2 linked regions of the Stegostoma tigrinum genome follow. The main gene of each other region encodes a partner of the protein of the gene in region 2 in a complex. Links are inferred from orthologs where the notes say so. Each region holds a gene or a part of one and is shown on either strand. Other genes may lie near its edges.

Region 1 (7,356 bases), on a different chromosome or scaffold from region 2:
CAGTTCAGCATCAGTTGTGCTGCCCTGCCCTCAGTTAGGGCAAAGACAGAGAAAGGCAGTTGGGTTCCCTGTGGAACAGGTGTAGTGTTCTTAACTCTGAGCCAGGTGACTTGGGGTTGAAGTCCCATCTGCTCCAGAGATGTTGAATAACATTTCTGAACAGGTCAATTAGAAGTATATTAAAAATTGAGATATCAGTGCTCCTGCTGGTCACAGAAATGGGAGGAAAACCTTAGCCTCTTCTCTTGCCTGCTACATAGAAACAAGAAGCCATTCACCCCTAGAAGGGACGTCATACCTGCTGACTTTAAAGGGGAAGATTCTGCAGCTTGGGCTGAACCAGAGGGAAACCAAAGACTTCTCTACGGGTACAACTGAATTCTTCAATCATCATAAACCCCTCAATGGATCACATTCTAACCCCTGCCTCTCGAGGGAATGTGTCCTGTCTGTGCATCTCACCCTCACTATTTAACCCATTCAGCCTTTGCTCCTTCCCTAGGGTTTTGGGACTCAGGAGTGAGTCTCCGTGTTTGAAGTTCTGAAAGTTGATACCGGTTTGAAGGGATTAAAGTAATAAATGATTTACAGCTTCTGCAATCTGAGTCCAGCCCATCGCCATGACCACGCTGTCGTCTTCTGCTGGGGGAGATCCCAGGTTCCAGTAAGTCACTGAAGAGAAAGATGATTTAACACTGACGTTCCGGTCCTGCAAATCACAGTAAAAGTTTTAAGTGACATTTCATTGAATGATATTTAGGTTGTCATTTTGGAAAGATATTGGCCCTGATGAGGAGCAGGGAGCATTTCCAGCAAAACATTGCCACCAACAGCGCAGGTCACCCTGCATTAACAAATAGGCACCTCTCAGTTAGAGGTCACAGCTTCAGTACACCTCAGGAACATGAGCCACGTAACTGGAGCCAACCAACAGGTAAACATTGAGGGAGCGCCATGCTGTCGGAGGGTTGGCAGCGAGGGAGCGCTGTGCTGTTGGAGGCTGTAAAGGAATGTAACTTCCACCACTGGGTGATGTTCCTAGACTCGGGTGAGCGCTCACAGTTGAATATTGAGTGCTGTCTCACCTCCTCCTCCAGGCACGGTTTATGGTCCTCTTTCAGAACAAGTCCAACATATCCAGGGGGCACAGGAAGATCCCGACCTTGCAAGGCTCGGCCTCGATAGGACACCTGCAACTCTGAGAGAAATTTACCTTTTTTTTTATATGTCCAACGATAGCCTGCACGTCCCTGCCTTGGCCCATCCCTGTTGCTGGGTTACACCTGGAACAGGTCTGCTATCTTGGATAGGTCACTAGAGAGATACAGATCAAAGAAAATGGAGGGAAAAGACCCTGAAGGAAGGGGTGGGGGGAGAGATGAGGAGAATATTTTACTTGAAGCAGTGAGTTCTGATCTGGGGTGTGTTGCCTGAAAGGGTGGGGGGGGGGGGGGGAGCAAGCAGATTCAACAGGAACTTTCAAAAGGAGGGGAACCAGCAGGGAAGAATGAGAGAGATCATTCAGAAAATCTACACAGGTTGGATGGGCAGAATGGCCTGAATGCTGTGCTGGATGAGTTTGCTTGGAGTTGTGGTCATGGGTGCAACCCTCCAGGTTGAGCAATCAGCCAAAGCCTTACCCCCATCTCTGTGCCGCACAGCTGGGCTGAAGTACTGCTCCACTTTGGCACTGCCGTCAGATTCGATAGCAACAGGCAACAAGTGAAGCTGGTCCCTGGCGGAGAACTTCAGGGAACTCAGATCCACAGTGATCACTGAGTCGGCCGCCATTGCCTTCCTGTAGGGAATCAGAGGGACCTCATTAATCAACAGCAAGTAAAACCGGCAGCGAAACATCTGCGAGGCACAGCAGGCAGTTCATCCCCATCTCCGCCCCCGCACCCATTCCCCCACCTCTACCTCTCCCCCACTCACCTCCCATCCCAAAACCCCCACCCACCTCTCACCACATCCCCACCTCCCTCTACCTCCACCCGACTCACCACCCATCCCCAACCCCCCACCCGCTGTACCTCTCCCCCACTCGCAACCCCCCTCTCACCATACATTCCCCACCCACATCTCACCCCCTCACCACCCAACTCCACCCCCACCACTCCACCCCACACACTCTTCCCCTCACCCCCCTCCAACATTCCCCCCCACAACACTCCCTCCCACCCCAACACTCCCTCTCCCCCCTCCTCCCCCCCCCTTCTCCCCCTCCTCCTTCACCCCCCAACACTCCCCCCCTCCTCCTCCTTCACCCCCCAACACTCCCCCCCCTCCTCCTCCTTCACCCCCCCCCTCCTCCTCCTTCACCCCCCCCACCCTCTTCACCCCTCCCCCCCCCCCACCCTCTTCACCCCCCCCTCTTCACCCCCTCCCCCACCCCCCCCTCTTCACCCCTCCCCCACCCCACCCTCTTCACCCCTCCCCCACCCCACCCTCTTCACCCCTCCCCCACCCCACCCTCTTCACCCCTCCCCCACCCCACCCTCTTCACCCCTCCCTCTTCACCCCCCCCCACCCTCTTCACCCCCCCCCACCCTCTTCACCCCCCCCCACCCTCTTCACCCCCCCCCACCCTCTTCACCCCCCCCACCCTCTTCACCCCTCCCCTCCCCCCCCACCCTCTTCACCCCTCCCCTCCCCCCCCCACCCTCTTCACCCCTCCCCTCCCCCCCCCACCCTCTTCACCCCTCCCCTCCCCCCCCCACCCTCTTCACCCCTCCCCTCCCCCCCCCACCCTCTTCACCCCCCCACCCTCTTCACCCCCCCCACCCTCTTCACCCCCCCACCCTCTTCACCCCCCCACCCTCTTCACCCCCCCACCCTCTTCACCCCCCCACCCTCTTCACCCCTCCCCCCCGCCATCACTCCTCCCCCCCGCCATCACTCCTCCCCCCCGCCATCACTCCTCGAAACCCTCTCATTCCTCCCCCAGCCCTGTGCTCCCATCCCCGGTCTAATCCTCCCTCCATTCCCACCCGAGGCTTGTGTCCCGCGGTCCCGCCTCACTCTCCTCCTGCCCTCTGACCGCTGTCACGTGGCAACTAACAAAACGGAAGACACTCGCGAAATGACTGTTGGGGGCCGCGGGGTGCTCTGGGAGTTGTAGTTCATCCCCATCGTCACCGGCTCAGGGTCAGCGCTGAGGGAGCGGGCACTGTCGGAGGGTCAGTGCTGAGGGAGCGGGCACTGTCGGAGGGTCAGTGCTGAGGGAGGGGGCGCTGTCAGAGGGTCAGCGCCGAGGGAGCGGGCACTGTCAGAGGGTCAGCGCTGAGGGAGCGGGCACTGTCAGAGGGTCAGCGCTGAGGGAGCGGGCACTGTCGGAGGGTCAGTTCTGAGGGAGCGGGCACTGTCAGAGGGTCAGTGCTGAGGGAGCGGGCACAGTCGGAGGGTCAGCGCTGAGGGAGAGGGCACTGTCGGAGGGTCAGTTCTGAGGGAGTGGGCACTGTCGGAGGGTCAGTGCTGAGGGAGCGGGCACTGTCGGAGGTCAGCGCTGAGGGAGCGGGCACTGTCGGAGGGTCAGTTCTGAGGGAGCGGGCACAGTCGGAGGGTCAGCGCTGAGGGAGAGGGCACTGTCGGAGGGTCAGTGCTGAGGGAGCGGGCACTGTCGGAGGGTCAGTGCTGAGGGAGAGGGCACTGTCGGAGGGTCAGCGCTGAGGGAGCGGGCACTGTCGGAGGGTCAGTGCTGAGGGAGAGGGCACTGTCGGAGGGTCAGCGCTGAGGGAGCGGGCACTGTCGGAGGGTCAGTGCTGAGGGAGAGGGCACTGTCGGAGGGTCAGTGCTGAGGGAGCGGGCACTGTCGGAGGGTCAGCGCTGAGGGAGAGGGCACTGTCGGAGGGTCAGCGCTGAGGGAGAGGGCACTGTCGGAGGGTCAGTGCTGAGGGACCGGGTGCGACACAGAAGGTGCTCTGCAGAAACTCACCAAAGACCCTCAGGCAGCACCTTCCAAACCCACCACCCACTTCCATCCAGAAGGACAAGGGGCAGCAGGTTCATGGGAACAGCACCCCCTGCACATTCCCCTCCGAACCCCTCACCATCCCAACTTGGGAATATATCCACGTTCCTTCAGTGTCGCTGGGTCAGAATCCCTGGAATTCCCTCCCTCGCATGGTTAGTAAGTTTGTTGATGACATCAAACTTGGTGTCATGAACAGTGAAGAAATTCATCTTCACCCAAAGAGTACTGTTGACCATAAAATGTGAGGCTGGATGAACACAGCTTGGCCTGCTGTGTTCATCCAGCCTCACATTTTATTATCTTGGAATTCTCCAGCATCTGCAGTTCCCATTATCTCTAGTACTGTTGACCAATTGGGTCACTGAGCTGAGGAGAGGCAGATGGAGTTTCATTTGGTAAACGTGAGGTACTGCATTTTGGTAAAACCGATAAGGGCAGGAATTATACCAATAAAAATAGGCCCAGGGGTCATGGAGAAATCTCGGGGTTCAGGTCCCCCATTATTTGAAGTAGACAGGGGGTTAAGAAGGCGTTTCGCACAATTGCCTTTATTGCTCAGACCTTTGAGTACAGGAGTTGGGGACGTCATGCTGAGGATGTACAGGACGTTGGTGAAGCCTCTTCTGGTGCACTGTGTCTGGTTCTGGTCTCCCAGTTGTTGAAAGGATTTCTTAATCTGGAGAGGGCTCAGAGGGGATTTAAGAGGATGTTGCTGGGAATGGTACATTTGAGTTATCAGGAGAGGCTGGATAGGCTGGGGCTCTTCTCACTGGAGTGTAGGAGGTTGAGGAGTGACCTTACAGAGATTTATAAAACATGAGAGGTGTAGATAAAGTGAATGACAGGTGATTCTTCACTCGGATGGGGGACTTTAAGACCAAGGGACATATTTTTAAGGTGAGAGAGGACAGATTTAAAAAGGATGTGATGGGCAATGTTTTTTACGCAGAGATTGGTCGTGTGTGGAATGAACTTCCTGAGGAAGAGGTGGATCTGGGGATAGTTACAACGTTTAAAAAGCATTTGGATAAGGACATGAATCGGGAAAGGTTTGGAGGGATATGGGCTAAGAGTGGAGGCAGGTGGGACTAGTTTCGTTTGGGATTATTGTTGGCATGGACTGGATGGTCCGAAGTGTCTGTTTCTGCATTATCTGACTCTGTGACAGTGTTGTGGGTGTACCTTAAATTAGGGGGGAAGCGGGGTGATGGCCTTGTGGTATTATCGCTGAACTGTTAATCCAGAGAGCCAGGTAATAGCGAGTTTTGAGAAGATTTGTAGCTCAGGTTGAGGCTCTGGATGTGAGTTTGCTCGCTGAGCTGGAAGGTACGTTTTCAGACATTTCGTCACTTTTTTTTATTTGAAAAAATATGCTTTATTCATAAAATGTACAAAAAATAAAACATATTTATACACCTACCCAGTCATGCAAGCTGCTTCGGGATACCCAGGGGGTACATACACCAACTAAAGGAAAAAAAACAAAGAAGAAAAAAACCAAAGCAAAGAAAATACCCCGGCGGTTGTCACCCCGCACAGTCCCCGTTGGCCCCCTGACCAGTTGGGGAAGGCACCAGCTGGGCCCAGGTACAGGATAGGGCCCTTTTTCCTATTCTGGACGAGGGGTTTCATACCATGGTCTTTCCCCACCGCGCCTTGGCGGCGGCTGCCCCAAGCTTTAGCGCGTCTCTCAGCACGTAGTCCTGGACCTTGGAGTGCGCCAGTCTGCAACACTCGGTCGGGGTCAGTTCTTTCAGCTGGCAGACCAGAAAGTTGCGGGCAGACCAAAGAGCATCTTTCACTGCATTGATGGTCCTCCAGGCGCAGTTGATGTTGGTCTCGGTGTGCGTCCCGGGAAACAGCCCGTAGAGCACGGAGTCACGCGTCACGGAGCTGCTTGGGACGAACCTCGACAAATACCACTGCATCCCCCTCCAGACCTCCTGCGCATAGGCACACTCCAGAAGGAGGTGGTCGACAGTCTTGTCCCCCCCGCAGCCACCTCGAGGGCAGCGTGCGGTGGTGCAGAGATTCCGGGCATGCATAAAGGATCTCACTGGCAGAGCCCCTCTCACCGCCAGCCAAGCAATGTCCTTGTGCTTGTTTGAAAGTTCTGGCGATGAGGCATTCTGCCAAATGACTTTGGCAGTCTGCGTGGGGAACTACACGACGGGATCCACCCTCTCCTTTTCCCGAAGGGTCCTGAGGATACTACGTGCAGACCACTGCCTGACGGCCTTGTGGTCAAAGGTGTTTCCTTTCAAAAATGTCTCCACGAAGGACAGGTGGTACGGAATGGTCCAACTACTCAGAGCGTTCCACGGCAACAAGGCCAGGCCCATCCTTCACAACACCGGGGACAGGTAGAACCTCAGTAAGTAGTGACACTTGGTGTTTGCGTACTGAGGATCTACGCACAGCTTGATGCAGCTGCACACAAAGGTAGCCGTCAGGGCGAGGGTGGCGTTCGGTACGCCCTTTCCCCTATTTCCCAGGTCTTTGTACATGGTGTCCCTGTGGACCCGGTCCATCCTCGACCCCCAAATGAAGTGGAAGATGGCCCGGGTGACCGCAGCGGCGCAGGCCCAGGGAATAGGCCAGGCCTGCGCCATATATAACAGTACCAAAAGCCCCCTCGCACCTGACAACCAGGTTCTTACCCGCGATGGAGAGGGACCGGAGCGTCCACCTGCCCAGCTTCTGCTTCAGTTTGGTGATACAATCCTCCCAAGTCTTAGTGCACGCCCCAGCTCCACCAAACCAAACATCCAGCACCTTCAGGTAGTCTGTCCTGACGGTGAAGGGGATGAAGGAGCGGTCATCCCAGTTCCCGAAGAACATGACCTCGCTCTTACCCCTATTGACTTTGGCACCCGAGGCCAGTTCAAACTGGCCGCAGATGTCCAACAGTCTACTCACCGACCGATCGGTGCAGAAGACGGCAACATCGTCCATGTACAGGGAGGTCTTGACCTGAAGTCCTCCGCTGCCTGGGATAGTCACGCCCTTCAGGCTCATGTCCTTCCTGATGGATGCGGCGAAGGGCTCCACACAGCACACAAACAAGGCAGGAGAGTGTGGGCAGCCCTGCCTGACTTCAGATCTAACAGGAAAACTGTCCGATTCCCACCCGTTGATCGAGACTGCGCTAACGATGTTGGCGTAGAGCAGCCGGATCCAATTGCGGATGCCCTCCCCGAACCCCAATTTGGAGAGGACATCCCTCATGTAAGCATGAGAGACCCTGTCGAAGGCCTTCTCCTGGTCCAATCTGATGAGGCAGGTGTCCACCCGCCTGTCCTGCACGTAGGCGATCGTATCCCTGATGAGTGCGAGGCTCTCAGTGATCTTCCTGCCCGGCACAGCACAAGTTTGGTCAGGGT
Region 2 (7,538 bases):
TTGGGCCTGTATGGGTTAGAATAAGGTCTATCTACAAACCCAGGCCGTAGTTTTATTTATAATTACTTTTCAAGGAAACAGCTTACTCTTACTTGTGACCTTTCACAATTCGAAAGAAATTGAAGTCACACTTTTCAATGTGCAATCATTGTTGTAATGCAGGGATTCAAGTCAGTCAATTTGTGCACAGTTTTTCGTCATAAGGAGCAGGTATCATGCACACAGTGGATATTGTCCCTGTCTCTGAGTCAGAAGTGTATGAGTCATAATACAGGACATGATAGCCAAGAAAAGCATTCATGATGTGGCCAAACAGGTTTATTATCAAATAAAATCAAAATACTGCAGATGTTGAAAATCTTAAACAAAAGCAAAAACTGTTGGAGAAACTCAAGAGTTCTGGCAGAATATGTGGGGATGGAAACAGTTCTAACATTTGGAGTCCAATATGACTCTTCTTTGGACAGAAGAACAGATTGCTGTTGGACCTGATATTGTTGAGTATCATCCTGAAAATCCTTCCAACACACACAAATGATAGGCTGGAAGAATGGGATTCTTGGTTAGCTGTGTAATGGAAAGAACCTTGAAGTTTCTACCATCTATACCTAACGTCCAGAGTGCAACATGAATATTGTCATAGCAAGTGGAACTCCCTGAGTAAGCTGTAATGCAGCACCTTTGCACACACCATAAACACCAATAATGACCTGATAAAAACCAAGAGAACTGTGGATGCTATAAATCAGGAACAAAAACAAAGTTGTTGGAAAAGCTCAGCAGGTCTGGCAGCATCTGTGGAGGAGAAAACAGAGTTAATGTTTTCGGTCCAGTGACCTTTCCTCTGTTCTGAGGAAGGGTCACCGGACCCGAAACGTTAACTCTGTCTTCTCCTTCACAGATGCTGCCAGATCCACTGAACTTTTCCAGCAACTTTGTGTTTGTGAATAATAACCTGATGTTAACAATGAGGGATAACAATGGGAGAATACCCCTGATCTTCTTCAACTTGATGCCACGTCATCTTTTATGACCTGATGATAAGACAGATAGACCCTTAACTGGTTTAACATTTCATCTGAAAATTGTCACCTGCAACACCGAAGCACTCCTTCAGTACTGCACTGGAATGGCAATCTGGATTACGAGCTCAAATCTGGAGTGCATTTTGAGCTCTTGATATTCTATTTCAAAGGCATTTGAGTTCACCACTGGGCTGCAGAGGTAGTGCTGGAGGATCCAATCCCTGGAATTGGGAATTCTACTCATGGTATTTTTCTTTAGCTTCTAGTCATCTTACATCAATAAAAAGGTTAGGTAGAGATGGTAGAAGCTTCAAGGTTCTTTCCATTACACAGCTAACAAAGAATTTCTCTCATTCTTTCAGCCTGTCATTTGTGTTTGTTGGAAGAATTTTCAGGCTGATACTCAATTATGTGCTGATGTTCACTCTTCCATGTCCATGTTACACACAAGGAAAAAATGTTTGTTCCTGATTTTAACCATCATTGTGCTCTGAGTTGGAGGGCAACATTAGGAAATACTCAAAAGATTTAGTTAAAGTAAGTTTTGATGCTTGATCCTCAGTTGATGGCACTCTATGATCTCGAATTTCTAAAGGAAAACAAGTTATGTATTTTCTCATCACCAGTGCAACATTGTTGGAAAGAAAATGAAAAATCCTGTTTGCTTTGATAAATAAGGTTAAAGGGTTCATTTGGAGCTATATCGCCTTTCCTTCACTGTTGCTGGGTCAAAAATCCTAGAACTCCCCTTTAACAGCATTGTAGGTGGATCTGCACACCTTGAATTGCAGCAATTTGCTGGCAACTTAACATCACCTTCTCTGGAAAAATAGGGAAGGGCAATAAACATTGGCCAAGCCAGCTATGCCTACATCGCATGAATGAATTAAAAAAAAAACCTTTTGATGCAGTTTCAAAGGTAGAAAATAAGAGGCAGCAGAGTATGGTGTTTTGCCGCTTTATATTGTTTCGAAACTCTATACACAATTATTTTTGACAGATAATGTGATTAGTTAGGCAGCTATTTTGTCTTGGTAATATCCTATAAAATCTTGAATCTATTTGTTGCATTATGTTTAAAATATCTCAAAAGTGTCTCATCCAACAAAACACCGAAACCAGGCCTCATCAGCAAAATATTGCACTAGATGACCAAAAGCTAGGCTTTAAGATAACAAAGTGTGGAGCTGGACGAACACAGCAGGCCAAGCAGCATCTTAGGAGCACAAAAGCTGACGTTTCGGGGCTTTAACAGTTGTCTTAAAGAAGAAGAGGTGAGGACATTGGGGGGGGGGGGGGGGCATGGGGCTGAGGAATCAACAGTTGATGGAAAAGAGTGAAAGGCATACATGGATTGTGGGGTAAGGGAGTGGTATTAGGTCTAAATCAGTTGCAGAGATCCAAAGGAATGAGATCATGATGGGAGGTGAGTGTGATTCTGAACATTTTTAGTAACAAGTAGTCTGCAGACTGGATGGCAGTAAAAACCAGCGTTTGAATGTAACATCACATTAGTTAGGATATGGGTAGCAGAGAAACTTAAATTTGTGGATGGTAGAAAATGGTGGACCATCTACAGCATTGGAATAGCCAAGTTTGAAATACAAAGAGCAAATGCATGAACAGTTAATTAGCTTGGTATACAGTTTAAGGAAAATGTTGGCTGAGTCACTGGGAGCCTTGCTTCCTGCTCTTTGAACAGCGTAAAGACACTTCAGTCAACATCCATCTGAAAAGGCCGACATGTTGCTCCCATGGTAACTGTGAGGTAGTTGATTTTATTGCAGATAAAAATAAAGCAATATGCTGAAAATCTGAAATGAAACGGAAATGCAGAGAGGGCTTATCAGCATTTGAAAGGGGAATCTGGGCTAATATTTCAGGTGGAATAATTCATAAGAACATTTGAAGTTCAGAGAACCTTAAAATGAGATCAAGGGCAAATCCTGGATATGAAAAAGCATCACTTGATATCATATAAATATACATAACACAATCCAATGTTGAGTTCATTATTATGTGAGCCCTGTAAGCTATTTTATTGTTGGAGGACTATTTCCAATTTCAATACTTAACACAAAGGCAATGCAAAATGAATGGTCGACTGGCTGATCGCTTCACAGAACATCTGTGTTCTGCTTGCAAAAATGACTGTGTCCTTCCAATTGCCTGCCACCCTAACCCCCGGCTGACATCTGTCTCAGATATAAAACAGTGTGGAGCTGGAGGAACACTGACGGTCAGACAGGCAGCGTCAGAGATGCAGGAAAGTTGACATTTCAGGTCGAATCATTTCTGAAGAAGGGTCCCAACCCAAAAGGTCAACATTCGTGCTCCTCTGATGCTGCCTGGCCTACTGTGTTCCTCCAGATCCACACGGTGTTGTCTCGGAGTCCAGCATCTGCAGTTCTTGCTATCTCTCTCACAGGCTTGCTGCAGTCCTCCAGCAAAGCTCAGCACAAGCTGGGAGAATAACAAGAGATGATGAGAACTGCAGATGCTGCAGAATCCAAGATAACAAAGTGTGGAGCTGGATGAACTCATCAGGCCAAGCAGCACTTTAGGAGCATAAAAGCTGACATTTTGGGTCTAGAACCTGATGAAGTCATTCACCCTCCCAACCAGATCGTTATCAACTCCTTTATCCCTGTCCTCTTCCCTTTATCCTATTATTTACACCCTCTACCCCATAGCCCTCCCTGTTCTCTGCCCTTTATCCTATTATTAACACCCTCTACCCCATAGCCCTGTCCTCTGCCCTTTATCCTATTATTAACACCCTCTACCCCATAGCCCTCCCTGTCCTCTGCCCTTTATCCTATTATTTACACCCTCTACCCGGGAACTGCAGATGCTGGAGAATCCAAGATAATAAAATGTGAGGCTGGATGAACACAGCAGGCCAAGCAACATCTCAGGAGCACAAAAGCTGACGTTTCGGGCCTAAACGTTCTAGGCCTGAAACGTCAGCTTTTGTGCTCCTGAGATGCTGCTTGGCCTGCTGTGTTCATCCAGCCTCACATTTTATTATCTTTTTCCTAGCTACCATCAGTTAAGAGGAAGGGTCACCGGCCCCCAAACATTAACTTGATTTTTTTTCCTTCAGACCTGCTGAGCTTCTCCAGCAACGTCTGCCTTTGTTCCTGATTTACAGCATCCACACTTCTTTCGGTTTTTAATCGCTATTTAAAACGAAATTTGGTTCTGAGTCTTTAAAACTACAACTCCCAGGGGGTTTTGCGCAGAACTGCACATGCGCACCCAGTTAGTGACGAGCAGAACACCAAACGAAATCAAAATTTAAATTTGTGAAAATAGAGCTTTCTGTAAATGCTCAGTGTGGAACTTGTTGTATCTTTCAACAGCATGATTTTTAAAATAAAAACAAAACTGAGTGAAGTGGCGTTCAGGATGGCATCAGAGGTCAAAGGGCAGGTTGCCGCTGAGCGCGGGAGAGATTAGTTTGGCGGTTGCTCTCGAGACATTTAAAAGCGCAGCCATTGTTCTATTTAAGATTGGCGGTTGTTGTTATAATTTTGCAATGGACCTGAGCGAGTTTCAGGAGGACAGCAGTAAAAGTTACCGGCTGGTATCAAAGGTGCCCGCCGCCTGTCGGACTGAAGATTGCTGCCTGGGCATCGATGAAGCGGGAAGGGGACCGGTGCTGGGTGAGAGGCGGGGTATTTGGTTGGGGGAGGGGCGAGGATGGTGTGGAGGAGGGGCAGGGTGTCCTGTCCAGGGCCCTGAGTGTGTGTGTGTGTGTGTGTGTGTGTGGGGCTTGGGGTTTGTAGGGGCGGGTCTAGTGGGTCGAAGGCGTTGGCTTGTGGGGGCGGGTCTGGGAGATGGGGCTTGTGGAGTAGTTCTTGGTGGAGATGGTGCGCTGCTGATCTGTGGTGGCGGGATGTGGGAAGAAGCCTGGATTTGAATCGGGGAGGGGTGGGAAGGTGGGTGCGTGAGTAATGGTTGGATTGGGGGAGTGTGAGAAGGGGAGGGGAAAGCAGAGGGACAAGGAATTTGGGGGAGATCTGGGTCTGTGGGGAGGGACTAATACAGGGAGGGTGGCAAGGACTAAGGGGAATTGGGGAGTGGTTGGGACTGGGTGAATCGGGTAGTGGTATAGCTGTGAATGGCAGGGGTTGGTCAGTAGTTAAGGGGAAGGGTTGAGTTGAGTGGTGGTCTCGGAGAGGAGGAAGGCCTGGTTGAATAACTGGGGGAAGGCCTAAGATTGGGGATGAGGGGTGAGGGAGGGGCTAACTGATTGGGTAAGTGGGTGTAGGTCTGGCTTAAGAGGCCAGGATTAGGCAAACGGAGGAGAGGGTAGGGCGAGTGCTGGGTCAATAATGGAGGCCTGGGGAAAGCCCAAAGGAACAAAGGGGGAGGATCAATTTGAGTGTGGCTGTAGTGGTGGGAAAAGGGTTGGTGAGGGCTGGGCAAATGTGGAGGGGGAGATGGTTAGTTCTGAATGAATAATGGAGGGAAAGGGGGTGTGACCTAGAGGAAATGGCTTCAGGTGCCTCAGTCTTTGATCATGATATCTGCCTGTAAGGATACTGATACTCCTGCTTGCACTGCTGCAAAACTTGTACTGAATATTTATAGACATCACCTCAAGATCCTGGAGAGTTAACGAAATCAACTGAAACAGGAGCTTGATTCGAACATTCAGTTTGTTTAGCAAATGTAGTATTCGAAATGTATCATCTACTTCAAATTTAACAGCTTCTGCCAAAAAATTGCAGCTAATTTAAGATTAGCACAATTCATGCTGCAAGATCAACTGACTTCTTGAGCCAATAAATCTGTCAGAAAATTCTCTTTTGTTAGTTGCTAACAACATTGAAAACGCTGTTCCACTTTGGGGCTTTCCTGTTGAAGTGGAAACGTTTGCCTATTACTTTGTACTGCCAAATAGAAAAGAATAGACAAGAGATTAACAGTAATTAGCAACAATTTATTGCTCTCTTTGAACAATTGCACTGTTTTATTTTGTTTTTAGATTGTTCTAAAGTCATTTACTGCTTGGTGCATTTAATGAGTTAGGTGGTGGAATAAAATGACTAATAATGCTTGTTAATTACCTTGCCAATGATATTCAGCTTTTTTTCACACCCCTGCTCCAGACCAGTGGTGCAGGTATGCGCTGAAAATATTTGACAACCTTTTTCCTTGCTGATGTGCTCATGGTAGGGAATGTCTAAGGAGAGGGCCTTAGAACACAAAGAATGGGAGGGAGAGTTGAAATGGTTCTCGAACTCCACCCTCACCCCCATCCCAGACCCCAAGAAGACTTTACACATCAAGCAGATGTTCACCTGCACTTCTGGCAATGTGGCATACTGCATCTGCTGTACCCTACAAGCCCCTACATCAGGGAAACCAGGCAGAGGCTTGGGGACCGCTTTGCAGAACACCTCCTCTCGGTTTGCAATAAACAACTGCACCTCCCAGTCGTGAACCATTTCAACTCCCCCTCCCATTCCTTAGATGACATGCCCATCCTGGGCATCCTGCAGTGCCATAACGATGCCACCCGAAGGTTGCAGGAACAGCAACTCCTATTCCGCTTGGGAACCCTGCAGCCTAATGGTATCAATGTGGATTTTGCAAGCTTCAAAATCTCCCCTCCCCCCACTGCATCCCGAAACCAGTCCAGCTCATCCCCGCTCCCTAAACTGTTCTTCCTCTCACCTATTCCCTCCCACCTCAAGCTGCACCTCCATTTCCTACTTACTAACCTCATCCCGCCCCCTTGACTTGTCCGTCCTCCCTGGACTGACCTATCCCCTCCCTACATCCCTACCTACACTCACCTCTACAGGCTCCATCCCCACCCCTTTAACTTGTCTGTCTCCTCTCCACCAATCTTCCCCTCTATCCATCTTCGATCCGCCTCCCCCTCTCTCCCTATTTATTTCAGAAACCCCTTCCCCTCCCCCCTTTCTGATGAAGGGTCTAGGTCTGAAACGTCAGCTTTTGTGCTCTTAAGACGCTGCTTGGCCTGCTGTGTTTATCCAGCTCCACACTTTGTTACCTCAAAGTCTTTCATTGGTTAGTCCACATGTTGAAATAACACCAATTTATTTTAAATGCAGCAGGGTTAGTTTCAAAATCTAGACAAGTGTCTTGTGTATAATCTGGATTAATTAAACTAGGAGAAACTGTTGTTCCCAGATGATACGTTTAAGATAATTGACAAATGAACTAAGGAGAAGGTGAGAAATGTTTTCATGCAGCAGGTTGTTATGATCGGGGATGTGCTGACTACGTGGTGGAAGCAGATTCAGTCATAACTTTCCAAATGGGTGTTGGATAGATAGTTGGAAAAGCAACATTTTCTGGATTATGGGAAAATAGCAAGCGAGTGGAATTAATTACAGAGCAATTTTTAAGAACAGGCTGAGGTACAAGGAGGCAAATGAGACTTGCTGCATTTTATAGTAGGAAAGAAAACCAGTACCCCACATAGCTGTTTACCAAGCAGTACAACAAAGGCCTGACAATAGGTGGCATCTC

Evidence for each region. The genes of interacting proteins can lie anywhere in the genome.
Region 1: the proteins of rnaseh2a (region 2) and rnaseh2c are in contact, whole or in part, in a crystal structure (PDB 3PUF), measured with the Homo sapiens proteins. The link is inferred for Stegostoma tigrinum from reciprocal best matches to the Homo sapiens genes RNASEH2A and RNASEH2C. Residues at the interface, in NP_006388.2 of Homo sapiens: Thr11, Asn99, Ser102, Thr103, Leu106, Gly107, Arg108, Val109, Val196, Glu197, Lys198, Leu199, Glu225, Pro226, Val227, Phe228, Gly229, Phe230, Pro231, Gln232, Phe236, Leu245, Ala249, Glu250, Asp251, Val252, Ile253, Trp254, Glu255, Asp256; in NP_115569.2 of Homo sapiens: Pro33, Cys34, Glu35, Val36, Ala37, Val38, Ala42, Pro43, Val44, Gly45, Arg46, Phe47, Phe48, Pro50, Ala51, Arg53, Ser62, Phe63, Arg64, Gly65, Arg66, Cys67, Leu68, Leu134, Glu135, Thr136, Lys143, Gly146, Ala147, Thr149.

The regions. Positions count from the first base shown.
Region 1 is NC_081395.1:3,960,427-3,967,782, forward strand, and holds the start of rnaseh2c (ribonuclease H2 subunit C), read right to left. Parts: upstream 3,063-7,356; 5' UTR 2,991-3,062; intron 1,799-2,990; 5' UTR 1,792-1,798; coding exon 1,641-1,791; intron 1,199-1,640; coding exon 1,086-1,198; intron 710-1,085; coding exon 590-709; intron 1-589.
Region 2 is NC_081388.1:17,345,659-17,353,196, forward strand, and holds the start of rnaseh2a (ribonuclease H2 subunit A), read left to right. Parts: upstream 1-4,450; 5' UTR 4,451-4,566; coding exon 4,567-4,693; intron 4,694-5,288; exon of another isoform or gene 5,289-5,553; coding exon of another isoform or gene 5,554-5,566; intron 5,567-5,936; exon of another isoform or gene 5,937-5,961; intron 5,962-7,538. UniProt on the Homo sapiens protein: Catalytic subunit of RNase HII, an endonuclease that specifically degrades the RNA of RNA:DNA hybrids. Participates in DNA replication, possibly by mediating the removal of lagging-strand Okazaki fragment RNA primers during DNA replication.